Linked DNA regions of Arabidopsis thaliana. The protein of the gene in region 3 interacts with the protein of the main gene of each other region in a pairwise test. Each region holds a gene or a part of one and is shown on either strand. Other genes may lie near its edges.

Evidence for each region.
Region 1: the proteins of AT1G52190 (region 3) and AT2G30160 interact in a protein complementation assay, tested with the Arabidopsis thaliana proteins (one large-scale study listed by BioGRID).
Region 2: the proteins of AT1G52190 (region 3) and WNK3 interact in a protein complementation assay, tested with the Arabidopsis thaliana proteins (one large-scale study listed by BioGRID).

What each region holds. Positions count from the first base shown.
Region 1 is NC_003071.7:12,873,325-12,883,107, reverse strand, and holds AT2G30160 (Mitochondrial substrate carrier family protein), read right to left. Parts: upstream 5,310-9,783; 5' UTR 5,093-5,309; coding exon 4,304-5,092; intron 3,938-4,303; coding exon 3,731-3,937; 3' UTR 3,447-3,730; downstream 1-3,446. Other genes in the region: PBCP (Protein phosphatase 2C family protein), read left to right, coding at 1,634-1,758, 1,846-1,897, 2,008-2,087, 2,178-2,330, 2,420-2,499, 2,583-2,680, 2,758-2,881, 2,952-3,034 and 2 more; AT2G30150 (UDP-Glycosyltransferase superfamily protein), read right to left, coding at 6,986-7,863, 7,958-8,450; UGT87A2 (UDP-Glycosyltransferase superfamily protein), read right to left, coding at 9,417-9,783.
Region 2 is NC_003074.8:17,866,694-17,877,269, reverse strand, and holds WNK3 (with no lysine (K) kinase 3), read left to right. Parts: upstream 1-1,739; 5' UTR 1,740-2,049; coding exon 2,050-2,118; intron 2,119-2,191; coding exon 2,192-2,229; exon of another isoform or gene 2,230-2,333; coding exon 2,334-2,561; intron 2,562-2,639; coding exon 2,640-2,863; intron 2,864-2,942; coding exon 2,943-3,100; intron 3,101-3,183; coding exon 3,184-3,349; intron 3,350-3,502; coding exon 3,503-3,631; intron 3,632-3,719; coding exon 3,720-4,258; 3' UTR 4,259-4,450; downstream 4,451-10,576. Other genes in the region: CYP71A26 (cytochrome P450, family 71, subfamily A, polypeptide 26), read right to left, coding at 1-699; BIR6 (Pentatricopeptide repeat (PPR) superfamily protein), read left to right, coding at 5,341-7,206; AT3G48240 (Octicosapeptide/Phox/Bem1p family protein), read right to left, coding at 9,263-9,648, 9,733-9,889. UniProt on the Arabidopsis thaliana protein: May regulate flowering time by modulating the photoperiod pathway.
Region 3 is NC_003070.9:19,428,561-19,441,119, reverse strand, and holds AT1G52190 (Major facilitator superfamily protein), read right to left. Parts: upstream 6,641-12,559; 5' UTR 6,450-6,640; coding exon 6,353-6,449; intron 6,261-6,352; coding exon 6,043-6,260; intron 4,314-6,042; coding exon 3,754-4,313; intron 3,396-3,753; coding exon 2,447-3,395; 3' UTR 2,089-2,446; downstream 1-2,088. Other genes in the region: AT1G52191 (Thioesterase superfamily protein), read left to right, coding at 519-600, 963-1,100, 1,565-1,753. UniProt on the Arabidopsis thaliana protein: Low-affinity nitrate transporter involved in xylem-to-phloem transfer for redistributing nitrate into developing leaves. Not involved in dipeptides transport.

The DNA.
Region 1 (9,783 bases), on a different chromosome or scaffold from region 3:
AGTAAATTTACAACGTATGTCTGTGGATCTCTCTAGTGCTTCAATAGTTTGGAATTCAAAGTTTTGTATGGAATATTTATGTGACACTTTACAGGATATATGTATTGAGATATCTTTTTAGTTTCAGTTGAAGTGAAGTGACAAAATCTCAAATTTGTGTTACTAGTTTTTGGGTTTTGCTGCTCAATCAAAAAAAAAAGTAAAAGAAATGAGTGAGCTCAGATTATAGCGAGGTTAATATCATATCCGAAGATTCATCACCACAGCTCAAGATATTTTCATCACTGCTCACATGCTACTAGATGCACCAGCCGGGAATCGAACCCGGGTCTGTACCGTGGCAGGGTACTATTCTACCACTAGACCACTGGTGCTTGTTGTTTCAACTACGTAAGTTTAGTTAATTGTATGTTATTTGAAGTCGAGTGATCTGGTTGAAGGTTTTATGCTATGCTAATCATGGTTTATGGTTTTGATCTTAGCGGGTATTTATTGGATGGTGATTTTACCCAGTTCCTAATGATACAAGATGAATCAGTTTATACATGTCAAAATTCTTGTTTTTCAAATGTTTCAACATGTATATGTGTTGTATCATCTATTGTAAATTAAGTACTTGATCTTTCTCTTATGACTTTCAGGAATATAGTTACAGTTCCAATGAGAAGTTCATAAAATGGACAGTGACAAACATGAACGTTACTAACCGGTGGAAGTTGGGTTCATGTTATATTTTAAACAACTTACTTTGTAGCATTCTTCTTTTGGGATTCTCATTTTGACTCGGACACTCTCCACTGAAACTAGTTCTATACCCAATAAGTTGGTAGACCATGGTTTTTTATGAGTTACATTTAGTTTATTCTAAATAATATAATTATAAGAATATGAGTTACGTGTTGAGCTTTGTGGTATTTTAAATGGACAAACTCATGAGTTCTTACAATTAAAACAAGGACTTTCAATAATTAAATAATAAAAAAGCTATAAAACAAAATATAGAAACAATTGTTAATTAAAAGAATTAGAGTAAATTTCCTTAAGAGACCTATTTGAAGTGTTAAGAGTTTTTATAAGAGTTGAAGATTTTCATCCAAATTCATGGATCATTTATTGAATATTATTGACAATATCAATTTTTTGGATGCGAAAAAACTTATCTTTCTTTGAGTATGTCACATAAATGATCGAGTGATTTGGATGTAAGAAAATTAATTAGAAACGTTGGTTTTACCTTTTTTTGGCCGAGATGCTTTATTTCAAGAACAGAAATAGTATGGAATATAGTAAGAGAAATTGAGTGATAATACAAAAAATGTTACTTGAAAAATTTAGTTTACATAAGGGAAAAAAAAAAGAGCTCAGAGGTGTGGCATATCTCAACTGATAATTCAGAAAAATGCAAAGGACCCACCCAATGCTTAAGCCAATATCATCATAGCTTAGTGCACCAGCCGGGAATCGAACCCGGGTCTGTACCGTGGCAGGGTACTATTCTACCACTAGACCACTGGTGCTTATTGATTCTATCTCTTCTAGTTAATAATTATCTCTAAAATTAAACAACCTTCACACACAAAGTACGCACCACCACAGGATTGAAAGAGAACGAGAGAGCAAGCCATTGCAGGAAATGGCGATTCCAGTGACGAGAATGATGGTTCCTCACGCAATACCATCGCTTCGTCTCTCACATCCAAACCCTAGTCGCGTTGACTTCCTCTGTCGCTGTGCTCCATCAGAAATCCAACCACTTCGGTCTCTGCTCTCTCTTGTACTATTTCGAGTTTACGTTGTTCGAAACTGAGAACTCATTTGTCAAAATATGTTTGCATTTTCCTTTAGGCCTGAACTCTCTTTATCTGTCGGAATTCACGCAATCCCTCATCCAGATAAGGTAACACCAGACCAAAGTCTCTGTTTTTCTTCTTTGGATGTAATGAATTTGGATTTGCTTAGAGAATATTTATGCAATTAAAATCGACATCTAGTGTCGAAATTATATAGGTAGAGAAAGGTGGTGAAGATGCTTTCTTTGTAAGTAGTTATAGAGGTGGAGTCATGGCTGTTGCAGATGGTGTCTCCGGGTAAGCTTTAGCTTTTGGTTATGCTAACTTTTGAGTTTCTTTGTGGGTTTATCTTAATGTTGATAAAGTTTATATTTTTTTCTGTCTCAGTTGGGCTGAACAAGATGTTGATCCTTCCTTGTTCTCTAAAGAACTTATGGCTAACGCTTCTCGTTTAGTTGATGACCAAGAGGTCAGATATGATCCTGGTTTTCTCATTGACAAAGCTCATACCGCAACTACTTCTAGAGGTTCTGCCACAATGTGAGTGAGATTTGATTGTTATTCTCTTCAAAGATTGGTTTTTGTTCCCTTTTTGGATAGCTTGATGTCCCGGTTATTGATGAAAGCAGTATTCTAGCTATGCTTGAGGAAGTGGGTATTCTCAAAATAGGCAATGTTGGTGACTGTGGACTTAAGCTTCTTCGGGAAGGTACTACACTGTAACCTAAGATGCTAGATTGTTTTCATGTTCAGCCTTTGACAAAGATCTTCTTCTTTCATTCTCATTTTCAGGTCAGATTATTTTTGCCACTGCTCCACAAGAGCACTATTTTGACTGTCCTTACCAACTAAGCTCTGAGGGGTCTGCTCAAACTTATCTAGATGCATCGGTAAATAAATCCTTACCACTCTTCATGATTTGTGCTAGTATTGTACCTTTGTATCATTTTTTTTGCATTTCAAGCAGTTTAGCATAGTGGAAGTACAGAAGGGAGACGTGATCGTGATGGGTTCAGACGGACTTTTCGATAATGTGTTTGATCATGAGATCGTTTCTATAGTGACCAAGCATACAGATGTTGCAGAGTCATGTATGTATATGTATATACCATCTCTCTTGATTTTTAGTAAGTTACATGTTTTTTGGTATAACCATTACAGCAAGGTTATTAGCTGAAGTGGCGAGTAGCCATTCAAGAGATACAGAGTTTGAGTCTCCATATGCATTAGAAGCAAGAGCCAAGGTAAGATTTTTAACTTGATCTAAGAATGAATTTTACCAGTTCACGCAAAGTATATCTGAATCAACGTATATGTGCAGGGGTTTGATGTTCCTCTCTGGAAGAAGGTACTAGGAAAGAAGCTTACAGGTAAATAAACAACAATGTTGATGCATTATCCTGACATATTATACTAAACAAGAGTAGTTTCTTAGTTGAGATCTCTGGTTCTGAAAATTGCAGGAGGGAAGCTTGATGATGTCACTGTGATCGTTGCCAAAGTTGTTAGCTCATGAATCACTCTGTTCATGATAAGATCTTCTCTTTATTCTTTTTGTACAAGTCCTTGTAAGAAACTTGTTCTTCACAGAAATTGATAAATGGTATTTCAAAGTTCAAACAATAAGAATCGAATCTTTATCATTGACCTTGTGAATGGACACTCTTTAAGCTCATCTATCTCTTTATAGTATCTTTCTCATTAAAACAAATAAAAGTACAAAATTTCTCTATCAATGCAAACCAGAAAAAAGGCCTTGGGGTTGTTGTAACTCTAATCTGATAACATTATTGCGTGAAGAAAACAAATAAATTATACAAACAGAGATCTTCTCTAAGAGCTAGTGTTAATACTAACCAACCAGTAGCTAGCTCTATGAAGAATCAATGACCTGAATCAGGCAAGTAAATTATGCCAAACGCATGTATGTTTGTGTCTTTTCAAGCTGCGTTTGCTTCACCATTGAGATCTTGAAAGAAAGATTTGACTGTTTCATAAGTGGACCAGCAAATCGCAGCTGCTGGAGCATGGAAGAGCATTCTTGGTAGCCATCCTCTAGCAAGTCCTCTATAACCGTCTTTCTTCACTATTGTACGGAACACATCGCTTATTGAACTGCTCTTGAAACGGTCACAACCACACACACCCTGAAACATCACCACAAACAAACTTCTCAGAACAAACAAAACAACCCAAATCCTATGAAATAGCTATTGACCAAGTATTCTAAACCACAAATATAGAAACATTATCTATGCGACTTTCACATGTAAATTCAGTAATATTAAGTTTTATGACCATAGTTCTAACAATGCTTGATGCAATCTACATGTTACCTATAAAATCATACTCGTGAAATCACAAAATATCCAAAGAGAAGAAAGAAGATATCTTTCTTCATTCAAGTGATCTATAGGATCAAGAGACAACTACTTAAAGTAGCTTGGCCAATCTATAACCACATTAGCTATCAGATACTTAAAAGTCAGTAGCTTTAGAGATATTTCAATCACCTGACATTGCAACTGCGTCTTAACAACATCAAGCGGAGTAGTTACAGCAGCCGCTAACCCACCAGCCGCAGCTCCAGCAGTAGCATAAATCAACCAACCTTCCTCATCCTCTGCTCCAACAGCATGCTCAGGCAACATCTCCCTCAAACCTCTCTTAACCGCCTCATAAGTAGTGAAATGCACAGCGGTAAACGGAGCATTCATCAACACAGTAGTTCTATACGAAGCGTAAAAAGCACCAAACCCTTCCTCACGCGTTACTCTCTTGATACAATCCCAAACTCCTTTATAAGTTCCATTCCCAATTTGCAACCTTTGCTTAACCATATCCATTGGAGTAAACACAGCATCACTAGATATAGTAGCGAAAACACCGGAAATAGCGTGTGCAGCAGAGTTATTAGGGTTTCCACCGGATAAAAACTTCTTAGAGACTTCATAGAATGAGAAATAAACAGCGTGAGCTGGTCCAGCACCAAGTCCCATAGCCCAAATACCTCTATATAAAGCAGAAGGTCCATCGGTTTTGATAATTGAACGGAAAGCTTGACGGATTCCGATTGGTTTAATCGGACATGAACGAAGAGCTTGCATATGGGTTTTGACTGTATCTACTGGAAACATAGCCATGTGTTCGACTGAGCCAGCGATTGAACCGGCGACCATTAGTTGCCAGAATTTAAGAGTTGTGTTTTGAGCTGGAACGATGATTGCTGGATGAAAATCCGGTGGTTGTGGGATTGGACGGAGATCGGATTCTGGGAATTTGGTTGTTGCTTCTGTTGCCATTGTTTAGAATTGATTGAGAGAAAGGTTTGAGCTTTTAGGGAGATTAGGAGGAAGATGAATCTGAAGGAGGAGAGGTTTGGTTAAATTAGGGTTCCGAGAAGATTGGAGAAATGACCAAATCTGGAGATTTCTCCGACCAGAGAGAGAGGATGCGGCGGTTAAACTAAAGACAAAGCATGGGAGAAACCTCTGCCTTGTCTTGTGGGCTTTAACATCTTTTTCCCCAAGTAAAAATATATTTTTTGCCTTTTTACGTTTTTGCCTCTTTAGTGTTTTTTACCAAAACAAAAACGTACTTTTTTACTTTTTTTTTTTTTTTAAATCGTACTTTAATTTAAGCGATATGAACCTAACCAAAAAAACTTATTAGATTATGTTTATATTATGAATACGAATATTATTTTTTTGTCATCGTAAATTTTTAAAACTTTGGTAGAATTTAAATGTACACAAGTGGAAAAAAATTTATCCCTTGAAAACTAATAAGTGTTATCTATATTATTAATTGAGAAGTATTGTATGAACTACAACATTGTAAGGGTAGTTTAAAATTAAGTAAATGAATTTTTGCATGGGTAGTTTAGTAAATTAACAATCACTACAACAAAATAAATATCTTGGATTTTGTTCTTTTAAAAAATCGACTTTAAAATCAATATATTCATAATTACCCAATCCCTCGATTTTTAAATATACAAATTATTTTTAAATATATTAATCCAAGATGTACCACATGTCAATCCCTCGATTTTTTTATTATATTACAATAACAATATTTAAAATAACAAAATAATTTTTCATTTTACGGAATGAAATTATATGGTGGGATGAGTTTGAGTTGATATTAATAAAGGACGATAATCTACGAGTGAAATTTTAGAATTAATAATTATAACATAATTATATATTCTTAAACATTAAACAAAATAAACAATATTTACAAAATAACTATATCTTAAAATTTGAATTTTTAGTTACAAAAAAATCGACCAAAGGTGTACCACGGAGAAAATTTTACATTATATCATCTAATTGATCAAATTTCAAACAAAAACAATCAATTTATATATACATCAAACTAACAAAAATACACAAATTTTCTAAATATCTCTATATTATTCTACAAATCGAAACAAATCTAACAATCTATTTACTATGCAAAATACAAATAAAATATAAATAATATAAATTACAAAAAATAGCTATTTTATCATAAATAACACTTTACACTTTTTATGCATATTATAATTTATACACTATAATATCTTTCACTAAAAATATATTCCAATACATTTTTAAAAATATGAAACCCCGCACGTATACGTGCGGGTCAGAATCTAGTTATTTATAAACCGATAATTCTTAAAAACGAAGAACTCAAATCAAAAATAAAGTAAAAAAAAAATTGTCCTAAAGCATTAGATATCAAGTAAAATATTAAATTTACTGCAAAATATGTTAAAATATTGGTAGATAAAACATGAGATGTGTGAAAATCATTCCTATTAAGATCAGATTTTAGAATTTTATGCAGAATTGGAGTATTTTCTCTAACAAACTGAATAAAATCTTTACAAATCTACAGCTACAGCTTACACTTACATCCAATATTCTACAGCAAATAATCTACAGCTATAGTGTAACCAATCAGCCAGTAAGCTTTACCAAAATCAATTCATTTCATAAATTATTTTCTATATTTGTCTCCTCACAATTCATTTCCAAAGTCAAACAAAAATTAGGCACACACGAGATTAAGCTCTACCAAAGAGTCTAACAAATGAACTTATAAATAACAGTTTTACAAACAATCTTAAATCTCTACAAAGTTTGAATCTTTAACAAACTTATACAAATACTAATATAGACTTGAATCATTAACAACAATAGAACTCACACGATCTTAGTAATATCTTTAATGAAAGCATCGATGTTAGCATCAGAAGAACCACCTTTCGCAACCGCTCCACGACATATCTCACTGAGATCACAAGTCCTTCTTCTCATCTCTTTCCCTTCTTCACTCTCTCCATCCATAAACCTTTTTACCAATTCCTTGATCTCATCACTCACTATCAACAACTCCATCTGCTTCTTCCTCTCGATCCCCATTCCAACTCTCCACTCCTCAACAATCATCTTAGCATTCAGAAACTGATCCCAAAAAACAGGAAATGTAAGCAACGGTACTCCCGAACATATCCCTTCCAATGTCGAGTTATACCCGCAATGCGTCCAAAACCCGCCTATAGCCGCATGACACAAAACACGTAGCTGATCACACCAGCTCACCACAACACCCAAGCTACCTTCAAGAGCCTCCTTAAGCTTTAACTCACCCCCACGAGCCACCCAAAAGAACTTAACTCCAGCCTCTCTAACTCCTACAACAATCTCCTCCATCTGAGCTTCGGAGACTGAAAGAAAACTCCCTTGAGATATGTAAAGAACAGAGCTTTCAGGTTGCTCATCAAGCCACTTAAAGTAATCAAGTTCTCTATTCTCATTTCCAACGGATAGTTCTTCCAAGGGTATTAACGGACCAGTGGAGTAAACCGGGAAATCAAACTTGGAAGTGAAAAAGTCAATGGCTTTTGGTTCGAGCTCATAAGCAGAAGGGAAGAGAAGATACTTAGCTTTATAAAGCTCACCGAAAGACTTTTTGAATATATTGAAGACTTGATGACTATAGCCGTGTAAGATCTGTAAGTCACTGAGTCTTGTCGGAGATAAACCGGGGATGTAATCAACAATCTCGTCTAGTTTTGATTCTGGAAACAAACCCGGATTCAGAAATCACTAATTATGGATGAAAGTATTGAACTTTACGGTTTTGATCAGTAAAAATGGGAACTTTGTAACTACCTGATGGTTCGATCGGAAAATGGCCGTGACTTGCGAGAAGATCGGAGTTAATGAAGAGGGAGAGAATCGTGGCTGACGTAGTCCAGAAAGAAGCCACCGGAATATTCCTTTTTGTGCCTACACGTACTGCCCAAATGATGTAAGTATCGGCGATGATTGCGGTGGGAGGAGAGTTTAGACGGTCAAGTAGCTGTTCGAACGGCTCTTCTAATCTGGTGAGGACGGCGTCGATGAAGGCGATGAAGTCGTTGGCTCGGACGAGCTCGGAGGGAATGATGTTGGGGAGAGTGGCGAAATGGATCCGGTTAGGTTTCGGGTCGGACCCGATGAACCCGAGCCATTCTTCGGTGACGACGAATGTGACGGTGAGGTTTGGGTCTCGCCGGACGAGGCTTTTGCAGAGGTTTAACATTGGGTTGATGTGGCCTCTTCCTGGCCAAGGCATGGCCACCACGTGGCGGACTCCGAGTGGCTGAGGTTTGATTGGATTCATAGGATGTGGAACGTGTTTCTGGTTACTGTGACTTTGTGGGTGAGAGAAGTGAGGACTGAGAAAGCTGCAGAGTGCAGAGGATAGCTTTTACAACAAACGTGGTCCAATTGTTTAGGCCATTACCCATAATGTTAATGATTGTGTCTACTTCTCTTTCAAGCTGTTTTTGCTGATTATCACATTTGTTGTTTTTTATAACGTTTTTAGACACTCAAGTGACCGGTGTGCTTTTTAAAGAAACAAAACCTAATCCCAAGAAACAGACTGTTTAAGAAAACAACACATGGCTAATTTTTTTTTTTTTTTTAATTAAGACAAATTAGGGAGATTGTTATCATTCTGTTTATAACTAACAGAATAACAATCTAGTTGACAAAAAAAATCTACATAGTTGTAAATTTTTTGATAACAATGTGTTTTCTTCAGTGCTGTTAGGTTTAATTTCATTCATTGGACTCTTCTCCTAATGTAGTCCACTCGATTATGTTAGAGGCAGAGTTCTCAGGTCATGTTCGGTTGTAATATTCTTTTTAGTTGCAGTTTAATAAATTGCGAGAGACAATTGTCTATTCTCACCTACCAAAAAAATAAGATGTATGATCATTTCGTGAATTGTAGAGATAGGCCTCATAATAAATCCCGTTTTAAGTTTTGCTTCAATTTTGTTCTCTTTTTCTTTTCCTTGTATTTTTGATGTGTTTTGGGTATTTTGTGACGTCTTGGGGTTTGATTAATGAGAAAGCATCATTTTAGATTATAAGCAAGCAAAATGATGATGCATAATGCATAAGCGGGGAGCTTTCCCACCATTAGAATTTCTATAAATTTTTGACATATGGTAAGAAATTGATTTAGCTATAATTTGGTGGTGGTTTTTACTTTTTAGTCATTCAAAAGATACATATGATTTAGTGAGCATGCCATTGAGCCTTACATTGTATTGAAACAATAAAACCTCTTTGAGCCTTAATTTGTATTGGTAATATGCCGAACGAACTCATCGATGTTTACATTAGACGAACCGCTTTTCGCAACAGCTCCTCGACTGATTTCACTAAGGTCACAAGCCCTTCTTCTCATCTCTTTCCCTTCTTCACTCTCTCTATCCATAAACCTCTTCACTACTTCCTTGATCTCCTCTCTCCCTATCAACAACTCATTCTTTTTCGTCCTCTCGATCCTCATTCCGACTCTCCAGTCCTCAACAATCATCTTAGCGTTCAGAATCTGATCCCAAAACAACGGAAACGCTAGCATTGGTACTCCTGAATATATCCCTTCCAATGTCGAGTTAAACCCGCAATGAGTCCAAAACCCGCCTACAGCTTTGTGA
Region 2 (10,576 bases), on a different chromosome or scaffold from region 3:
CTTTTCTAGTTGACAGTCTAAACCGCGGATCCAATCAATCCACGCAAGCCAAGGTACATAACTCCCCACACTAAACGTCCCCAATAGTTTATTTAGTCTCTCCATTAACTCCTTAAAATCCGTTTCACCACCGTATTTCCGTCCCAAAGCAACTTTACATATCACATCGTTAGTTAAACTCACCAAGATCTTGCTTAGATTTACCGGCAAAGAAATCGATTTCCTGATCTTTTCCATCATCAGACTGATCTCTTCTTCTCTCACTTCTCGAAAGGATCGTACCATTTTGTTGCTGAATAGATGGAGGACGCACACACTTTTCATTTGCCTCCAGTACTCTCCATAAGGAGCTGAGGCCACATCATGCTTATCGTAAAGAAGTTTCTCGAAGATTTTTGACCGTGGCCGGCTTGCGAAAACACGGTCATGCGTCTTCAAAACGTCTCTAGCCAATTCAGCTGAAGATACTACAAGAACGGGGACACGGCCAAAGTGAAGAAGCATAAGAGGACCGTACCGGTGGCTGAGAGAGCATAGTGATCGGTGAGGGTGGCGGCCGAGTTGATGAAGGTTTCCGATCAACGGTAGTCCCGGTGGTGACGGAAGTGTGTTTCTTTTCTTCCCTCTCTTCTGTTTTCTGAAAATTATGATGGTAACTACAAAGATTATTGAGCATAACAGAAAGAACATGATCATCATGTCTGGATTCTTCAAGTACATCAAAACGTGTTCTTGTGAAGAGTTTTTATTTGTGGTTTTTTTGGACTTACATATACAAGCCAAGTTTCTTCACGGTAGTACTAGTACGTAATTACTGTCCACTCAATCTTTTGGACTTATGTATTTATGCATGCACCAGTCTTTTAATGTTTAGTTCTTCGAGATTTTTCCTTGTGAAAGTCATTTGGTGCGTTTACGATTTATGTCTTATTTTGGTCGTGTCACCGTTCTAGTCTTTCGGTGCTTCCACGATGTGTCTTACCACCATACAATACAAGTGCCTAGGATAATGGTCTCAGGCTGCCGTCAGCTCTAAGGATTTATATACTCTGGGCCCAATGGGCCTTACAAAAATTTGATGATCATTGTATATAATCGGTTTTTAAACGGCTGAACCGCCAATTCATACTCATCAAAAATACAACGACAACATTGTTCAACAAACAATTCTCCATGAAAATTTAAATGTCCTAATTCGTCTCAAACATTCTGTCTCCAATATGTAAAACATTTATATTTTGAGATATAAGTAGAAGTAATAGATTATAACAAATGATCATAACATTAGTGTAGTGATTTGTGTCAGTACAAGTTTCTATTTAAAGTGTAACAACATTGAATATTTATGTTTCACCAAAAACTATGACTATTATTCTATTAATCCTGAGAGAGAGAGCAAAACCCTTTAGTGAAAAGTTTCCTTAAGTTTAAAAGAACTGAAGCTGAAGTCCAAATTGTTGTTTACACACAGTAAAATCGAATTCGTTACCATGACAAGCGGGTTCAATGGCTAAACATTTTGTAATTTACCAAACCCATTATTCGATTTGTAGGATAGTCAATTATAGGGTTCTTAGTCAGCTAAAACAGTGACTTAAGAGTTAAGAAGGGGAAAAAAAAAGTCCGAATATTTTATATTCACAACACCATGAAGTTGACTGAATAAGCAAAATAATTGATTAGAGTAACATGACAATAAATGAGAAGAAAATCAAATAAAAAACCAGATCCATGGCGCGAAAAAAGCAACGACCCACACCTTTGCCACGTGGTCTTGTCCAGTGGATCTGAGTGTCCTAAATTCGAAGATGAGAAAGAGAGAGAGTGTACAACATTCTACAGTCGACACCATTATGATCAGCAGCTGGAAAAGCTTAAGCTTGGTTTTAATGGCACAAAATCTAAATAATCGATTTATACACAAAAAGACAGCTAAGTAATGATTATTATTATTATCAGAAACTGCTTCAAAACTTGTTCTTCCTTGACTAAATTTCTCTCTTCTCTCAAGAACTCCTATCATCTGTTTTGAATTGCAAGTAACCAAGAATGCGACAAGACGAGAATAACTCCGAGGAAGAATTCGTTGAGATTGATCCCACTGGTCGCTATGGCCGGGTCTGTTCTTCTTTACTTGATTTTAGTGTTACCTTTTTCTCAATTCTAATGTTTTTGTTTCTCATGTTTTCAGTATAAAGAAGTTCTAGGCAAAGGAGCTTTCAAAGAAGTGTATCCTTTTTCTTAGATCTCTGTTATTACTACAGAGACAAATCAGATTAGATTCGGACAAGACACAGTCACTAAAGGGTTTCTTTGATCAGAGAGTTCTTCAGATACAGAGCATTTGACCAACTTGAAGGAATCGAAGTGGCTTGGAACCAAGTTAAGTTAGATGATAAATTCTGTAGCTCAGAGGATTTAGATCGTCTTTACTCTGAAGTTCACTTACTCAAAACCCTTAAACACAAAAGCATCATCAAATTCTACACTTCTTGGATCGATCACCAACACATGACTATCAATCTCATCACCGAAGTCTTCACTTCCGGAAATCTTAGACAGTCAGATTCCTCTCTCAGAAGTCAAATCAAATCTTTTTTATTTGATCAATATTATTCATGTTTGACAAACCCTTATAGGTACCGGAAGAAACATAAGTGTGTTGATCTAAGAGCATTGAAGAAATGGTCAAGGCAGATCTTAGAAGGGCTTGTTTATCTACATAGCCATGATCCTCCTGTGATCCATAGAGATCTTAAATGTGATAACATTTTCATTAATGGGAACCAAGGTGAGGTCAAAATTGGAGATCTAGGGCTAGCCGCGATTCTGCACCGCGCTCGCTCTGCTCATAGCGTCATCGGTGAGATCTTTAATCTTGTTCTCAAACGAAAAAGTTTCTCCATTGTGAAACTATAATTTTGTGTTTGAAATTGTTTAAGGAACTCCTGAATTTATGGCGCCGGAACTCTATGAAGAGGACTATAATGTACTTGTCGATATCTACGCGTTTGGAATGTGTTTGCTTGAGCTGGTAACTTTTGAATACCCGTATTCCGAATGCACAAATGCTGCTCAGATTTATAGGAAAGTTACATCGGTAAGTGATCATATTCCCATCTCATATCCAATCAAGAATGACTTTTTCCATATTGTCGATCCATTTTTCTCAATGCTTCTTAGGGAATCAAACCAGCCGCTCTTTTAAATGTGACTGATCCGCAAGTGAGAGCATTCATAGAGAAGTGTATCGCAAAGGTCTCGCAACGCTTGTCAGCCAAGGAACTACTTGATGATCCTTTTCTGAAATGCTACAAGGAAAATACCGAAAACGTCAGCTCTCACAAAGGTAATATCAGATTATGGTATTTCATTTCATCTCAATATGAAGTGTCATGGACTCCTTTCTTAAAAGTTAAAATCAATAATAGTAACATAAGATAGTTTCTATATTTTTTCTATGTGAAATTTTCTAACACCAAGTTCAATAACATTGTCACAGAAAATGGTTACAACGGAAACGGAATCGTGGATAAACTCTCGGATTCTGAGGTAGGCTTATTAACCGTAGAAGGCCAACGTAAAGACCTCAACACAATCTTCCTAAAACTACGTATCACCGATTCCAAAGGTTCAAAATCTTTTTTGCTTTTTTTATTACAAATCTTCAGATCATTACTAAATCTTCTTTTGACACAATAATAACATTTTTTATACAGGTCAAATCCGCAATATCCACTTCCCATTTAACATAGAGACAGACACATCTTTCTCAGTCGCCATCGAAATGGTCGAAGAACTAGACTTAACCGATGATCAAGACATCTCAACGATAGCTAAAATGATCGACACAGAGATACATTCACACATCCCCGATTGGACCCCTTCTCGACTTATCGGTGATGATTCAGCGGTACAAAAATGTTTGTCTTCTCCAGAGACGCTCCATTTAGATAGATTTCCTTCAGGGAGAAAATTCTGGTCCTCTCCTAAAGCTGGAGCTGGAGACTCACGTTCACCGTTTGCGCCACGGTCTAATTCTAAGTTGTCGTCAGCACAAGGACCGATCAATCAAGAAGTTGGGGTTATAGTAGAGAAACTTGAGTCTTTGTTGAGGAAACAGAGAGAGGAGATTGAAGAGATGCAGAGAGATCAAGAACGTATTGTTACTGAGTTCTTAAAAGAGTTTCCTCCTGAGATTTGTGAAGAGGCTTTGGTGAGATTGCAAGTTAAAGATTCTGATAACTTATTGTGTTAGTACGTTTTTTACATTACACACTCTCGTCAAGATTAATTTGGTTTGCAATATTATGTTGTACTAAAGGTAAGTAAATGTGTAACAAAATTGTGACAGTTATGATTGAAGGAAAACTATTTGTCAAATAATATTTCTTGAATTAGTTAGGTGAAGACGTAACTAGCTCAGAAGAGTCTGGGAGAAGAAAAGAACGCGGTGATGATAGGTCACATCACTGTGTTCTTATTCACTTGATTCTTCTGAGCTAGCCTCGTCCTCTTCACCCAACTCTTATGAACCTTACTCGTCTTCACTGGACTCACTTGCAGAGACTCTAATAAGGTTGTCTTATGATCTATGCTCGCCTCTCATAATCTTAGAAGAAGATATAGAGCGGTTCATATTTTGTTCTCTCTCGCCTATTAGGTTTAATGGGTACTGGTGTTTCTTAAATAGCGTATGCCTCAAGATAATATATTAGGGTTTCATAGATAATAAACCTAATCACCAAAACATTTGGCATAAATGGGCTAAAAGCCCAAAATTTCATAAAACTACCTTAAAACATCTTTATAGGAAAGAAAGCGTTTCAGGGAGTAAGCAAATATAAGCATATGGCAGCGTCAAGGACTCAAGGGATCCAATCAAAACTACAAAGAGCAAATAAATAATCAAAACAAAAACTGAAATAAACTAAATTCTCATACTTGTTCAGGAATTGGTTTCTGATCCGTCGAAGCATGCACTCCCTTGCTCTGCCATGAAGAAAACATTTTTCCGATCAATTCTAGGGCACCGAGAAAAGCCCTCAATTTTCATAAGAACTAAAATCGAAAAGTAATTTAAGTTAAATTGTTCTTGTTGGTAAGCGATTCCGGGACTGGACCCAAATATCTGGCATAAATGGGCTTAAAAGCCCAAGCCAGAATAAACCAACTTGAAAATATCATATCACAGCATTAAAACGCAGCGTTTCAGGAGTTAAACCCCTAAATTTTCAGGAAAATTGCATTTTTGCTTAAACCCTATTATTGTCACTTTCTCTTCCTCTCCCTCTTCCTTATTCGAAAACACACAAAATCACAGTAGTAGCATCTGTAGCCATGTACAGATCAATGGCAATCCTGTCTTCTCTTCGACACGCGTACTCACAGATCTCTACTCGATCGTATCTAAGCCGATCTAAGGTGGGTTTTTCCTCAAACTTGTCTTCGCCTCTCGATTCATTTGCAATCGTCCCTAGTCGATTTCTTTGGAAATTTCGAACCTTTTCTTCGAAACCAGATTCTATGCTTCAATTAGTGCTTGAGAATGATTGGTCTAAGGAAGTAGAGGAAGGATTGAGGAAACCTGATATGTCTTTGACACACGAGACTGCAATTTACGTTCTGAGGAAATTGGAGAAGTATCCTGAAAAAGCTTATTACTTTCTCGATTGGGTTTTGAGAGATTCAGGGCTTAGTCCAAGTACTCCACTCTATAGCATTATGTTGAGGATTTTAGTGCAGCAGAGATCAATGAAACGGTTTTGGATGACTCTGAGGGAGATGAAACAAGGAGGGTTTTATTTAGACGAGGATACTTATAAGACTATTTATGGTGAGCTTAGTAAGGAGAAATCGAAAGCTGATGCTGTGGCTGTGGCTCATTTTTATGAGAGAATGCTTAAGGAGAACGCAATGTCTGTTGTTGCTGGAGAGGTTTCTGCTGTTGTTACTAAGGGGGATTGGAGTTGTGAGGTTGAGAGGGAATTGCAGGAGATGAAGCTCGTTTTGTCGGATAATTTTGTGATTAGGGTGTTGAAAGAACTAAGGGAACATCCTTTGAAAGCTTTGGCGTTTTTCCATTGGGTTGGTGGTGGTGGTAGTTCTTCTGGTTATCAACACAGTACTGTTACTTATAACGCAGCTTTGAGGGTTTTGGCTAGGCCTAACTCGGTTGCAGAGTTTTGGAGTGTTGTTGATGAAATGAAGACTGCAGGGTATGATATGGATCTTGACACTTATATAAAGGTTTCAAGGCAGTTTCAGAAATCTAGAATGATGGCTGAGACAGTTAAGCTTTATGAATATATGATGGATGGTCCGTTCAAACCATCTATTCAAGATTGTAGTCTTTTGTTGAGGTATTTATCGGGTAGTCCCAATCCAGATTTGGATTTGGTGTTTCGGGTTTCGAGGAAATATGAATCAACAGGGAAGTCTCTCTCAAAAGCTGTTTATGATGGAATCCACAGGTCTTTAACCAGTGTAGGTAGGTTTGACGAAGCTGAGGAAATCACCAAGGCTATGAGAAATGCGGGTTATGAGCCGGATAACATCACATACAGCCAACTCGTGTTTGGTCTTTGTAAAGCTAAGAGATTAGAAGAAGCACGAGGAGTCCTTGATCAAATGGAAGCACAAGGATGCTTTCCCGACATAAAAACTTGGACTATACTGATCCAAGGGCACTGCAAAAACAATGAATTGGATAAGGCCTTGGCGTGTTTTGCGAATATGCTAGAGAAAGGGTTTGATATTGACTCTAATCTGCTTGATGTCTTGATAGATGGGTTTGTTATCCACAACAAATTCGAGGGGGCAAGCATATTCCTTATGGAGATGGTGAAAAATGCCAATGTAAAGCCTTGGCAAAGCACGTACAAACTTCTTATAGACAAGCTGCTAAAGATCAAGAAGAGTGAAGAAGCACTAGATCTTCTTCAGATGATGAAGAAGCAAAATTACCCTGCGTATGCAGAAGCTTTTGATGGATACCTTGCAAAGTTTGGGACTTTGGAAGACGCTAAGAAGTTCTTGGATGTGCTTAGCTCAAAGGATTCTCCTTCCTTTGCAGCCTACTTTCATGTCATTGAAGCTTTCTATCGAGAAGGAAGACTCACTGATGCGAAAAATCTTCTCTTCATATGTCCCCATCACTTTAAAACTCACCCTAAAATCTCCGAACTCTTTGGTGCTGCAGCTTGAGGTATTATGTCACCCAATTGTTCCGCAGAGACATGTTCATCCCATTCAGCTACAAGAATACAACCAAGAGGTCATCTACTGTTTGGAAGTCTTTCCATTCAACCTCTCTGGAATAAAACTCTACTCTCTTTGCGAATAATGTCCATTCCTCTGTTCTACGTGCTGCAGGGTAGTAAGATGATTTTGTAGGCTTTGTTGATGGAACTGAAAGATGTTGTAGGATTGTTCATAAACAGTTTGCATTTATTTATTCATTTTGCAATTGTTGAGCTTCTCTGTCTCTTTCTTGTTTTCTTCAACTCAGTATTGAATGGATATCATTATTTTCATCAGAGAATGCAATTATGGATTGAGGTCTTGATCATGTCCTGGTAGAATCTTTCTCTTTGCTTTCATCTTTATTGAGGATCATTGTTGGAAGTATTAGACGACATGAAAAGTCAGAAAACTCTTATCCGAATATTAACCTCCAGACCTGTCTGCTTTGGCCATGTGAGGTTTGTTCCAGAAGTCTGTTAAGCTTACGTGTTCCTTCTTCACACATGCGGCTGTCTCTGATTGAAGTAGCTGAATGAAGAGAGAGCTCACAAAGAGACATCATACTATAAAATGTCACTTCAATCAATGTATTTAATTATCAGCCAAGTGTTTTGGTCTCTAGACTTTTTTTTCTTGTTGCTTTTGATACATCAACTTCTCTTTGTTTCTTATACCATACGTTGCAAAGACAAGTCATGAAAATTGTACAACGGTTTTTGAAACAATTAAGGTCTTAGTTTCTACCTAAAAAAACATTAAGGTCTTAATAATGTTCGTTAGTGTTTTATCATTATATGGACGGATCAGGTTTACACTTTGAAAATAGGGTTTTGATTTGAACCAATCTTCATCAAACCGAGCCGGATCGAAACTGGTTAAGCCCTATGACAGCATTTTACCGTAAACTAACAAAACAGAGATGGATATTCTGGATGAAAAAGCAATTCAGGATTAAGAAAAAGATGCAAAGGAATAAACTTTTGACATGGAAACTGTCTATTGATGCTTAGGTTTTTCGGTCACGTATCTAATCTTGTGTGTTATAGTGATAGTGATGCTGACATTTAACCATTCACCAAAGTTAGAGAAGTGTCCACTTGCCCTACATTTTCTATTTTTCCAAATTTTTACTTGTAAAGGTTAGAAGATCGATTGGCTCAGTGACACAGTGACATGATTAAGACATTTGCTTCAATTAGATCCAACGATGTCGAGTAAATCAAATTTGTTGAGAAATGGTCAAATCAAATTTTAACATATTGTTAACAAAATAAAATTTTGATTAATTCTTCTTCAGAAAACAGTCTCCCTCAGTGTTTATGCATTCATATTGTTAAGATCTTAATTGCGTTCTTACGATCTTTGGTCACTTGACAATCTATCAAAAAAAAAAAAATTTATTTTTTTTTGTCTATGAGTGTGGGATTTAATAATTAATAGTTTTTGGGATCTATATATAATTCCCTGTTTTTTTTTGTTCTTTTTCTTGGGAAAATAAAAACTTAGTTGGATATATGTCATCCTGACTAGACCCATAAAATAAGACAAAATAAAATAAAATAATGTACAATATAAATCTATATAATATACAAACAAAAACAAAATGAAAGTTTAGCAAAATACAAAAACAATGAATGGAGAGCAAAACCTCTGCTGAGGAAACAAAATAAGAAACTCTAACAGAGGTACACGTGTGAGGATACACATCCACTGATCCCCACAATACACACGTGTACTCGCATCTGACTACGACACGTTTCACGTCTGGAACAGTCGCAACATACCACGTATTGAATAAAACTGACGTCGTACGTTGCCCACATATCTTAACGGCAAAGTTAACGGTTAATAACCGCCGGGAAAATATTCCGTCAACTTCTCCGTTTGTTCACCGACCACAAAATTTCACTAATTTTCATAATTCCTTCTCTTCACATACAACAACACATCATAAAACCCTAGATTTCATTTTTTCACATTTATTTTTTCTAAGCCATTTTTATTTCTCCGTCTGACGTTATTGCCAGATAAGCTTGGAGTCTCTGTTTGGAACACGGCAGTTACAGCAACGAGAGTATTCTCCAGTTCTCATACGGAATCTACTGAGAAGATTCTCCGTCGGCGGAGCCACACAATACCGAGGCGGAGATGGAGAAGCCACGACGGAGAACGGCGATTTCGGCGATAGATCTCCACCGCCGCCGCTAGATCGTGGTGACATCTGCTTAGGAGGCGACAAAATCGCACGGATCTTGCCTCCGTAAACACGATCATATTCTTCAACGATATTCACCAGATCTTCGTCCGATTTGACGGAGATTAGTGTCTCGAGATCTCCATTTGGTAATTGACACTTCAATTCAACGGAGTATCCACAAAATTCCTCCAACTTCATCGTCAATTCTGAAGGAGAAGTAGAAAAATCAATTTCGATGAATTGGAAAAGTTAGATGAAATTGGAATGGGGGGAAAAAGATTGAAACGGACCTGTGAAAGAGATAGAGTGATGAACGGAGAGTACTCTGGTGAAACCGCCGACGTAACGGAGCTTTCCATCGATAGAACGAGGGAGGATTCTTCCGCCGTAACTGCAGAGGAACTTGAGACTGTTCTTCGTTTTCTGATTCTCAGCTACGGCCACCATTGTTAGAAGCTTCTAGGTTTCAAAATTTTCTGTGTCTTTTTTGCCTTTTGGTTTCTTTTTCTCTTAAACCGAGAATTCTGGGGGACGAGTGGAACTTATTTATAGGTAGGAAATGACGTCATTGTTGGACAGGGAAATGAAAATATTCGTTCCTTTGTTGGACATCACAAGGCTGTTTTGGACAATTTTGTTATTAATAACCCAATACTCTTTTAATTCTCCTCGCATTACGCAAAGAAATCGAGTTTTGTGTATTTTTGAAGTTAAGTGGCTCATATTTATTGGCTGTAATTAATTATGTATTAATGTCGTCGATTCATTGATACACTTTCTCGAAACCAAATCTTTTCATGTAAATTTAGTCCCGGCTCAAACAATCGAGAAGCCTTACGGCAACTTACAAAAAGGAGTTTTTTCAAGCATGCTAAAACAAAAACCATTTCATATAATCATGTTTTAAGTTCTATATCTTCATTTATCAATACCACATTACTTTAAATTGCTTCATATCTTATGCATCCTCTTCTATTGGATCTAAAACAACAAAATAAAACACAATAGTTAATTTGAAATAAAGAAACGCTTTTGACGAACTCTAGTCAACGCAAAGTCATGAATGACAGTGTCAAAGTCTATGCTTTCTAACTAACTGATATAAGATCCAAGTAGATGACCACACGATACTCT
Region 3 (12,559 bases):
AATATATATATATATATATATATATATATATATATATATATATTTTTGGGAAAATTGGAAAATAAAAGATGTTTAAAATTGGAATTGTTTCTATACATTTTTTTTAAAAACTAAATTGTCACTTATTAGTATTAAAACAAAATTTAAACCAGTTTTAAGAGAGATTTTTTGAAAAAACACTTTGATATATGAAGAAAATTTAAAGAATAAATTTTGTGATTATATCGAAAATAAATAGCTTTTAGATTGTTGAGATTCCATATGCAAAGTTTAGAATAAGTTTTTTTATATATTTCGAATAACTTCTACAAATTTTAGATTATATATTCTATACATTTTATATGTTCTACGACTTTTAGAATTGATATATGTTCCAAAAAATTTAGAATTCATAATTTTATATGATATATTAACTGAATCTTCTGTTTTGTTGGATAACAATATCAACTGAATGTAAGATATATTTTCGATTCTATATATATTTTCAGCCTTAATTAAAGCCATTCTCACTTTCCAAGTTTCATCCTCGAAGGCCTTCAAGTCATCCATGTTGGAAGAGGGATCGTACGGTGTAAATTGACAGTAACGCATCATGTTTTGGTAAATTTATTCTACCCTTTTTCTGTTAGTTTTTTGTTTTGTTTTCTGTGTTCTTTTCATTTGCTGGTGTTTATGTTTTTCCTTCATATGATTTTAATGTTTTAATTGCTTTTGGTGGTAAATTTATTCTACCCTTTTTAATGTTTTTTCTTTTCAATGTGCATTATTACTCTTATAAGCTAGGGAGAACAAAACAATATCCGAGGACATTTAAGCAATATGTTCTAGTATCAGTTTATTACATGATACGGTATTTTAAAATAAATAAAAAATTTATGTAATAAAGTATCTTTGATGACAAAACATTGTTTTTGGTCATAGTATTGACGAATGCCATAATTGTATTATACGGTTATATTCAGAATGAAGACGGGACCTTACACACTGCAGCGATTGGGGTTCTGATGGAGTTGATGGGAGCCATCGCGATCTACTCGGCTGGAGGATCCCATACCTCAGTTGATCTCAACTATTCGTTATACTCGACAGCCAAGATTCAAGTTCGACCTCTTAATTATGCTAATATTTGATCAGATAGTTTTAAAATTATACTAGCATTTTCATAACGTATAAGGAAACTCACAAAATATTATTTTGATAAATTATAACTGATTTTCTTTTGGTTAGGTTTGATAGAGTCTGTCAGTCCGGCTTGGTTACGGATTTAATTTTTAAACAAAATATCATTTAGTTTAAAAATGTTAGAAAAAGAAATATATATATATATATATATATATTGATCAATTACTTACTTGAGGTTTTTTACGACAAAAAAAAACTCGTTTTATTTCTACTTTTTCGATGAACAGTTGTTTACTCTTATATATGGGATAAAAAAAGTTTGATTTTCGTTGCTTTGTGTTGATTGAACTATTATGGACATACTGTATATATATCTAATTTGATAGAAACATGCACCGTTTTCCACCCAGTATATATATTTTAATGTGGTGAATAAATCTAGGAAGAAATAAAGATAGAAGCAAGAGTGGTAGGGAAGAGATCAGAGAACCTAAACTCAGCAATAATTGAGATTCGAAGAGAATACGAAGAAGAACTCATTGCCACAGGTAGACTATGGATGAGCCTGTTGAAGACACCATTTAGCCTAAATGTCAAACACAATGGTGTTGATCAAGTTAGCAAGCTTTAATGTATCTCTCATGAAGCATGTCCTAAGCATGCAAAGTGGTATGTAAGATAATGTAATTTGGATGTCGATCAGTCTTATGACTCTTATCATATAAATGGCTTTATCATCAAACCAAATTTTAGTGTCGATGATATATGTTACGTTACTAATTCTAGATATGGTGTCATGGTGAAGCAATGCAAGTGGTATGACTATGAATTGCCATGGATTTTGTTTTTTTTTGGTAAGGGGTGAAGATTATCATGGATTTTAGTAGTCCGTTTTATTGTATGGTATAAAAATTTGCTATTTATAAGATGTTGTGATCTAATGAATTAAATAGGTACGCTTACATTTTTAATTACAATAACTTCCAAAATAAGAAAGAAACAAAAATTCATGTTTTTTCATTTTTTAGACTTCGTCTGATATACAAAGAAGATAACCAAAATATATACACAAGACTCCTTGAATTGCAATAACACGAAAAAAAAAAATACAACAAACACTTTGGCTTGTATACAACCAAAAACCATTACCTTTTCATCAAAAACCCTAATGAAAACCCAAACACATAATTCAATCTAATTACAAATCTATATAGACTTTAATTAACACTTAATAACACCACACACCAATGCAATAAAATATCATTTCCTATAGTTTATCGCTCCCTTTATAAACAAAATACAAGCTTGCAAGACCTATTGTTCCTTAATTGGTTTTAACAACTGGACTTAGATCTTCCTTCTCGAATCCTTTGCCAACAATGTCAATCAACTCCTCTTCCTCTCTCACACCATTAACCCTACCATTCCTTACCTGGTCGACCAAAGGACCATACGACCAGCTACATATCACGTAGTAGATCACATTGATGAAGCTCATTATCGCGAGTACCCAATAGTAATAGTTGTAGTGACCCTTGTTAATGTTGTCTGAAACCCAACTCTCTTTACCATTTCTAGAAGTTAGTTCATTGACCGCATTGAGGACCACGCTTGCCAATAGACTAGCCACAGCCATTCCTAAACCGAAGAGAGAAGCCGCGATGCTAGACATACTTTTAGGAAACTCGGTGTAGAAAAACTCAGTCTGTCCTATTGCGGTAAGAGCCTCTGCTAAACCATGTAGAACATATTGTGGCACAAGCCACATTGCTGAGATGTCTACCACAGCATTTGAATTGTTTGCATATCCTTGGCTTATAGCTTTTTTCCTTCTGAAGCTTTCAACCATTGCGGAAATTGCCATTGCTAAGAATGACATGAATAATCCTAATCCCATTCTTAGCTTAACGCTAAGTCTAAAAGGTCTGCCTCGGATCTTGGAAGCTAATGGGATAACCGCACGGTCATATAGAATGACCCATAGGGCTAGAGCTATGATTGTGAACATACCGAATGATCCAGCTGGAACTTGAAAGCTTGAACCATGGCGGCTCAGACGCCTGTCCATGGAAGTCGCTTGCAGTAACTGAAACGAACTTTGGCTAGTGTTTATGGACATCATTATACCTGTGGACCATATGGGTATGACTTTGATCAATGCCTTAAGCTCCTCTACTTTGTCTGTTGTACATAGCCTCCATGGATTCAAAGCAAACCCATCTGACCCAATCTCCTCCTCACGGTTACTTATTAAACAAGCTTTATTCAAAAACCTAACCAAGAGAAAATTAAAATCTATCATGTCTCTTGTATAACAATTAACAAAGCTCGTTTAAGAACTTAATCAAGAGAGAATCAAAATATAAACAGGACAATATCACAGGGTTTGTTCAAAAAACCTGATCAAGATATATTATCCAAGTAAAGAGAGAGCATTATATTTCTCTTGTACCAAGAATTTTTCAAAACCTATGATAGTAAATATCAAAAGTGAGAAAAATGCATTGATCATGTTTCTTGTATAGCAAGCTTTCTTCAATAAACCTAATCAAGAGCGTATGGTCTTTCTTGCTTGTAAAGTAATCAAAACTCAGGAGACTTAAGAAGTACATGTATATATAGTAGTTTTACCTCAACTTTTGACTTGGAGCTTTGATTTCAGAATCTTTCATGTGATAATAACAATCAAAGGAGTCATGATGATCTGGTAGACTTAGCTTCCTCTTCTTGTAAGCTGCAACAATCGCTTGAGCTAAACCGGTGAAGAGACTCTTGGTCACACCACGTGTAACATAGAGAGGAGACGCAAGAATGAATAGCAAAGCAGCGATCAACATGAGGACCGCAGGTACTCCAAACCCGATTTTCCACCCGAGATGCTCCTGAATGTATACAATACCCGTGAACGCGATGAGAACCGCCACAGCTGAGGAAGCGTAGTACCAACCAAAGAAACTCTCGAGAACTCTTTCATTTTTTGGGTTCTCTTTGTTGTCTAGTTGATCAGCTCCAAATGCTAAGGAACATGGTCTGATCCCGCCTGACCCGATCGATATAAGGGCAAATGCGGAATACAAAAGAGCCAGCTGAGATGCGGTCGAAGACCCACAGTGGCTTCCGGCTGCTGTGGGATCGCAAGGCGATGGCTTCACTTGTGGTAACATTGCAGTTAGCCATAAAAGCACCATTCCCTGTGGTATGAATCAACAATGATCATTAATTAATTTACTTTGGTCTATAAATCACTATTTAATTTGAGCTGGAAGCTAAAAAAACATTACATGTCGTTACACTAACAAACATTACATGCTACGTTTCTATATCCTTAATTACAGAAAAACTTCCAAGAAGAAAAATCCATTATTCATATCGGCAACAAACTCGTGAACATGAGCACACGTTGGTAGGTCGAATGTAAAGTCATATGTCACTAACCCTACCAAAATTATACTAAATTTTGTTTGATTGAGATGAATAATTGTACCAACATGTCAAATCAATCCATGTAACGAAATTGAAACATTTGATTTGCATTATCGACTTCGCCCAAGAATCGGACAAGTTGTAAAAAGTATGGACACGGTTCAAAAATAATTGCTTAAGCCTATCACCTATCTCTGTGTCGTCTACATACTATATAGCCTATAAACAAAATCGAGCTTGGCCCCATAACGAAAATAATTCAAAGACGTCATGCGTTGTGAAATAGAATTGTGTCCAATCCGGTTTACATAGATTTCAATCGAGAAAAATCGTAACAAAAATTTGGGTTCGAATAAAAACTGTTTTGGTGTTGTTTATTCAAACAATTCGTTAAAAGAAAGTAAATCAAAATTAAAAATAAACACAGGTAAGTTCTTGATCATTCTTGCTGACAAAGGAATTCTATGAAAAACTGAAGTGAATGTTAACCGGACCAAAAACTGAACCTATATGCATGCGTATACACACAAGTCACAAATAAAACATATCTTGTATATAATTTTATAACTCTGTCTATATATAGTATTTGAAGTTACTATTTATGAATCAAAGCAATCACAATTTTTAGAAGTGCAGTATACTTATAAATGGAATATTGTCACATCTGAAATTATGGTTTCGATTTGTGGTCACTCACACCACTTGCCAAGGACATTTTAAATTAGCAATTATTTGTTTTTTTAGTAGAAAATTCAGAACACATGGAACTGGCACGCTATGAAATTAATCTGAAAAATGACATTTAGTGTAACACAAACATAAGAAACCAATAATGCAACTATGTTTTCCATAGGTTGAGTCCTAAATGTCTCACAAGTCACATAGAAAGTGTGAAATTGCTAAAAATGTACAATATATTATTACTGTATACTAGTATATAATAGATATTTCTAACTGAAAATTATATAATATTAATAAAGAACTACCTATTCAATGGTAACGATGAATATGTTGGAAATGAAAAAATCCGGTCCATTATTACTTTCGAAATTTTCTTATAAAAATATAACCTGAAAAAAACCTCGTACCACCATCCTTCAATTAATTCATTTTTAGATGTTGTAAAAATATTAAATTCTTTTCATATAAGATAATAGTATATCTTTTTCTCTTATCAGTAATAAAATACTATCATATAACGGAAAAAGTATATACATGGTAAGAACTTTTTCAAAGGAAGTTGTCCGTTTTTCGAAATCAGTAACGGATTCTTATCAGTCAAATGACAAGTAGTGGAATTTCACACTAATGAAAGCTAGCTAAACCAAAAATTTCACATCAGGTTTAGAAGTATTTCACACACCAAACCGGATAAATAAACCCAAAATTTCAATTCCAAAAAAAATAATCATCAAAGAAGTGTCAAAAAACCGACTGGTTAAGTTAAACCAGTTTGGTAAATGGAGAATCAGAGAAGAGAGGATGAAGATTATTTACCAAGAAACTGGAGAGAGAAGCAATGGAGATGGTGAGGAAGCGACCAAGATAGGAATCAGAGAGAAAAGCACCCAAGAGAGGAGTGAAATTTGATGCAGCAGACCACATGAAAAGCACATTTGTTCCTTTTGCTACTCCAAATCTATAATCTCTGATTAAGTACATAATCATGTTTGGTAGTAATCCATAACTCGCCACTTTCTCAAACGCCTCGTTAGCTTCACCATAATAAATTAACAAATATTATTAATTAAAGAATTTTTACAAGAAAATAAATGGAATTGGAGATTTTAAGAAAATGTAGTTATACCTATGATAAAAGGCATAGTGATGATTCCACCCTTTGTTTTTTTGCCTTCATTGGTTTGGATTTGCTTAGCCTCGGTTTCATTGGGAGGGTTCTCCATTGTTGAATGTGATTTGATCAAACACTAAATCTAGTGATATTTATATAGAAGAGACTCTAGAGGGAGACAGAGAAAGGCAAAAAGGAAGAGGAAGAAGAAGAGGAAGTGGAAGATCTTTGTCTTTGCAAGTGATTTGAGAGAGAGAGAGAGCGAGGAATGTGTGTTACATTTCCGCGACGAGTGGACAATTAATACTAGTAACTAACGCCTATAGGGGACAAGAGGAAAAAACATTAAGTGAAAAAATAATAAATTATGAAAATAATTTTTAATTTAGACTGTGTTAACATTAATGACATCAACTTCAATAATTCTTTTTGCTATTCGGATAGAATTTTCTGTTGTTATAGTTGCTAAAATTATATGCTTAGTTACATCAAAGGGAAAATATTATTGAAACTGTTGTTACACTAGCTAAAATTAATATTTTGTTTTATGTTAGTGGTATCGCTACGTTATTACACAAGTTTTAACCCATATAATATAATATAATTTGTTAACCAAAATATAAGAAAATTCACATTTATAGTATATAATAGTTTAATCAGGTTAAATGGGTGAAATTTGGTTGAAACAAAAAACGCGACGAACAAACCAATATCACAACTTAAGTTTGTGAAATAATTCTCAATAAATTCTTATTCTAGGTAAATCTTTGAATATTTCAAAATAGCTCACATATGACTAGTTTAATTTTACGAGTCAAAACATTATTCTTTTGATAACCTTTATTAATATAGTTCTTGTTAAATCGTCAGATAATTAATTATCCATTTGTTCTATTAGTTTTTTTTTTTTTTGTAATCTTATTCAAGAATATGTGAACCAGAGAAATCGCATGCATGTTATTCAATAATTTTGAGTTATCTTTAATTAACTAAATCTTTAGTTCGGTCATCTTTGTTATCATTTATTCTCTTAACTAATTTGTCAAATTTCGTCACACAATCACCATTAATTTGTATCATCATCATTTTTTGCTAAATTCTGTCATTGCCAATTATACGCTTATTTTTAAAACAGAAGTTTTGTGTATGCCATAGTTTTTTTTAAAGTGATCACGGATGTTCACCGTTTCCATGCCGCATTAAACGCTGCTCCAAATCCTGATAGCCAAAGAACTGTTTACTTTTCACATTCAGATTGTAAGAATTCTTCATCACTTTATACAATAAACGAAGTAGATAGCTTTCACATCCGATTAATGAAAAGGAATGGAACAAAATCATATCAAAAGTTCGAAATAATTGAGCAAAGCCAAAACATCCCATGAGGTTACCAGCTTTTCTTTTCTTCGCTGTCTCTCACTTCTTTTTCTCTTTTTTTTTTTTTTTCTGTTAAGGACTTTTTTCTTGATTATTTATTCTTTATCTTTTATAGAAATAAAGGACACGTTAAAGTTAGTGCAATCATAATTAAAATAGCTTTTTATTCTGGTTTCGACCCATCAGTCATTTATTCATATCATAAGTCAATCTTATTAAACAGTCTGACAGAAAAAACTCATACATTGATGAATAAATTTAGCTCAATAATTTATCCTTACACATTGTCGATTAACTGTATGTGTTTGTTATATTATAACATAACCTAGTAAACTAATGTGTGGAAGTATTCAAGTAAATATACAATAATGCAATTCATTGAAAAAATGGTGAATAAAAAAAAGTGATAATGATGCGAATGAATGTGGGAGTCTTAAAGAGAAAAATATTTATTATGACTTTATTCATTCCCCTTGCACGTGGGTGTCGGATACTCTGAAAGCTATTTTTCTTTTGGATATACTATAACTTATTCAATTATTTTCAGTTCGATAGAAATATATAATATGTTATTATACCTAAGTAACTAGTATTCTCTATAGTAGTAGTAGTTCGAGTCATTTAATTTAACTACTCCAATTAGTCTCCAACGTTAGAAAAGACGTATTTATGACAACTAACGTATAGGTGAATTGGTATTCAAAAAAAGAGGAAAAAACCTAGAGGTGATTTAGCACTGAATGAGACATTTTTACTAAAAAGAATTGTGAAATATCACAAGAAAATGCATAGCTCGTAGCAATCTAATTCGGATTATGTAATTTTAAGTTTTTATGTTAGAAAACATCTTCATATAATGTGAAATGAAGAGAAAAAAAAAGAAAGAAAGAAAGAAATGAAGATATAGAGACTAATAAAGGGATGATAAAAAAAGAATTGCGAATAATTACGAGAAACTCATAGGCATAGCTCACATTAGTCTAATGTTTATGCTAGAAAATATCTACATCTATAAACCGAAAGAAGCTAAACATAAACTGATCTTTAAAAAAACTTTCATATTATAGATTTTGTTTGTTAAGAAGCCCAACTTAAGCAAAACTGTAACAGCTTTTCTATTTGGTTTTTTTTATAGATTATTTCCCAACCCAAAACGATATAAAATTGTTATGGCTTTGTTATTATCTTGTGTAATCAACTCCTCTTTCAATGGATGTAACCTATCTATAAAATCTTGTTTGTCCAAACTAAAAACTGATATAAAACTGAAAACTTGATTAGATACTTTTTTAATGGGGGAGCAGAAGTCCATATGTGTGGGTGGGTGTATATATTATATTATATATATGGTAATGTTTGTGGATAGTTCGTGGAGAAGACTGTAGTATATGAATAGTTGAATACATTATCACTGAGAGATTGCTTGAATTGCACGTTAACCCCAATTTATTTCATTGCAACCAAATAATAAACAAAAGTTGTGTCAGAGTTCATCAGACTCATATTTCCTTCATTGTTTTACTCAAAAAATTAGATTTTTGTCGGTCTCATTTCTTCTAAGTTCTGACTCAAATTTTCACCCACTCTTCTGCAAACATTTTTTAAAAAAGAATTTTCTCTTATTTTTTTTTAATATATGTTCAATACTTCAATCACTTGACACTTTCTCCTTCTACTCACAATAATGAGCTTATGTCTTCTTCCGCTTTTGTGCTCATGCGTCTTTGTGTGGTGGTGATACATTCTATGATTCTAAGTGACCAATTGGTTACTTTCAAAATAGCATAACGACGTAATTGTATACTGTATTTTTCTAATTAATTCATGGTTGATGGATAATAGATATTCAAATATTTCAATACACAAAAACATAATTTGTGTATAAAAATTATCATTTTAGAATTAATGTTTAGAATGTTTCTAATTCTATTATGCACAATTTTTATTTTATTTTTCACGATTCCAACTGTTTAAATATATAATAACAATAAGTAGATATTTGTTAGTACTTGTTAACCTGATTAAACCTAAACCCAATCTCTTTCTCCTTCTTTCCTCTCCTTCTCTTCTTCACCCTATTTCACGTTCTGGGTTTTTTCAAAATTGGAATTCCACTTTCTTTTTGTGATTAAACCACTAATGATTAAGATTTCTATTAGCCAATAACCTAGAAACTCTATGAGATATCTTAAATGATTCAAATTCATGAGCGTCTTTTCTAATACCAATTATGAAAGCTGCTAGATTCCAATCTATGTGATGTTTTGCAAATTGTAATGTCATTCACTTCAATTCCGATGATAAAGATATATATATATATATATAATAGATTAATAGTGCTATATTTTTTCCTATTTCTTTGAATACCAATTACCCATACAATCTAACTCTAAGATTCTCAGACGAAAGCTTGGCTGCCCCTATAACTACGTTTGCTAACCAATTAATCGGAACAGTTGTCGTTGGATGCATAGTGGAGAAGCTTTGAAATTTCTTCTTGTTCTATCAAGCATTTCAGATTTGAAAACCCATAATCTCATAATAATAATTTCATAGCTAAAGAAACACAAACCCATAATCTCATAACAAATCTGTTGAAAAACCAACAAAATCTCATGTTGCTCCATGAAAACTTCGTCGTTCCCACCGTCGTCCAAGATCGATCATTGATTTCATGAGGCAAAAGTTAATGGGTGAAGAAGATTTCCATGTGAAGAAGAAGTCGTATCGTTAATGGGTCGGCCGGTTCGGGTTAATTTTTGATAATTTTGGTTTAGTTTTGGTTAAAGTTTGTTTTAAGATGGTTAAAACTGAATTGCTGTACATTAAACCGTTAAAACCCAGATATATGGGTTAATAGATCTCGAAGTATTAATTCGGGGAGATTTAGCTGTACAACTTACGTTTCGGGGACAAATAGGTTGAAAACATTTATTTTATGGATATGTAGACCGGAGTTGAAGTTTAGGCTCTATTTGGCGTGATGTGATACTTCTCGTAGAGAAATATACCGTTTTTCCACTTGTTCATATATATACATCAATGGAACCTAATTTCGCACGTAGCAGTTAGTGAAACATTGTATAATTAATTACATGGTTTAAGGGTATATATTCTCTTTTTACTAATAAAGTCTTAATTTTTAGTTATCACGATTTAGCACATATCAATCTATAGATTTGATTTTTCTTTTATTAGTTCTTAAATTTTGATTTGAGACAGTAACTATTCAAATAGAATGCTATTGTAATCCAGAATCCGAAAGAAACGAATCAAAAAAAAAAAAAACGAGTCTTCATAGTAAAAATCGATTAACTAAAAAGGATGGAAACAAAAAAAAATTACTCAATGTAATTGAAATGAATGTATAATTTTGATACTTCCATTTTAATTAAATAAAACATAGAAAATGTTCTAATGTATTTTTAAAACCAAATGGACTCTTAGTTTGGTTTCTAGAGTTACAGTCAAATAAGATATATCAAGAATATAAAGGCTTAATAAGAGAATTTATATTTATGAAAAATCAAGTTTATATTAATAAAAATGAAATTTCTATTAAATTTCAAAATGAAAATTATTTATAAAGAAAGTTTCAGAGAAATAAGTGTATAATATTTTTTTTTATACATGAGTTAGCAGGGTAATTCATCCCCACTGGCCACTACCCATCACTCTATTAACCCTTTTTTAAATGGTGGTCCAAGTAGAGAGTAAAAGATATTTAAAATAATCGTTTAATTTTACATCAACTAGAAGTTCAGAAGTAATATTATATATGTGGGTCCATATCATTTTATAAAAAGTTTCATCATCGAAAACGACTATATGTTAGTGTATTGATAACAAAATCGTAATAGATGTAAAACTTATGATCGGAAAGCTAGATCCCTTCCATTCTTTCATCAAAATTAGTTACAATTTTTTTTTTAATTAGTTACAGTTCTCTTTAGGTATGCATCAATGGTTGTATTAAAAAAGATTATGTAAGTATTTTCGTGTTAAAAGTAAAAGATGAGGATGAATTCCAAGAAAACAATTGAATTTTATGCGTGTAAGTGTATCAAGTGAAAAATTGTATGCTTGCCCAATGTGTTTGTATCCATCTATGATCATAAAAAGTATAAATTTATATGAAAACTTTTTGACAAAATACTTCAATATAAAATTTTTGTACAAATTTAAATTCTTAATATGTAATATTTCAAAACACTATTATATAACATATTCACTGTAGCAAATATTTTAAAAGATACTAAGAGCAGGTCTATTGGAAGCACTTTGTGAGTTTTTTAGAAGAAACCTAAAGAAAAAAGATCAAAAATTAATTCAGAATGGTGATATTAAGCAAGGTTCGCACTTTGCTTTAGGTGTTTTTGGGTGTATAAGGTGCGATGACGTGGCATAATTTAATTGGGTGACATAATAAACAAAACAAGTTGCTTTTTTCTTTCTTGGTGATTTTTTTCTTTCATTCAATGTTCTTTCTCTCCTCTCTCTTTTCTTGTTTTTTCCGAAGATCAACCTCAATGGATCATCTTCTTCATCTCATGTTTTCTCAGTATGATGTATCCGATTTCGCACATCCTGAATCAGCTAGTTCTTCACAAGTAGTTTTCATATATTCTACAGACATGCCTTCAAATCTTGGTAATATGATGGTCACTCGAACCCGACTTCGTGATCGGACTAAGCATGAACACTTAAAAGCTGATTTGGTTGAACATATATGGCAAAAATTTGGTCAGAATCAAGCTTAATTCTAGTCGTCATTCAAGTTTTTCATTTAATATGTTTGTTTTGTTTTTATGTGATGTATGTTTACAATTTTAATATTTTTAATAA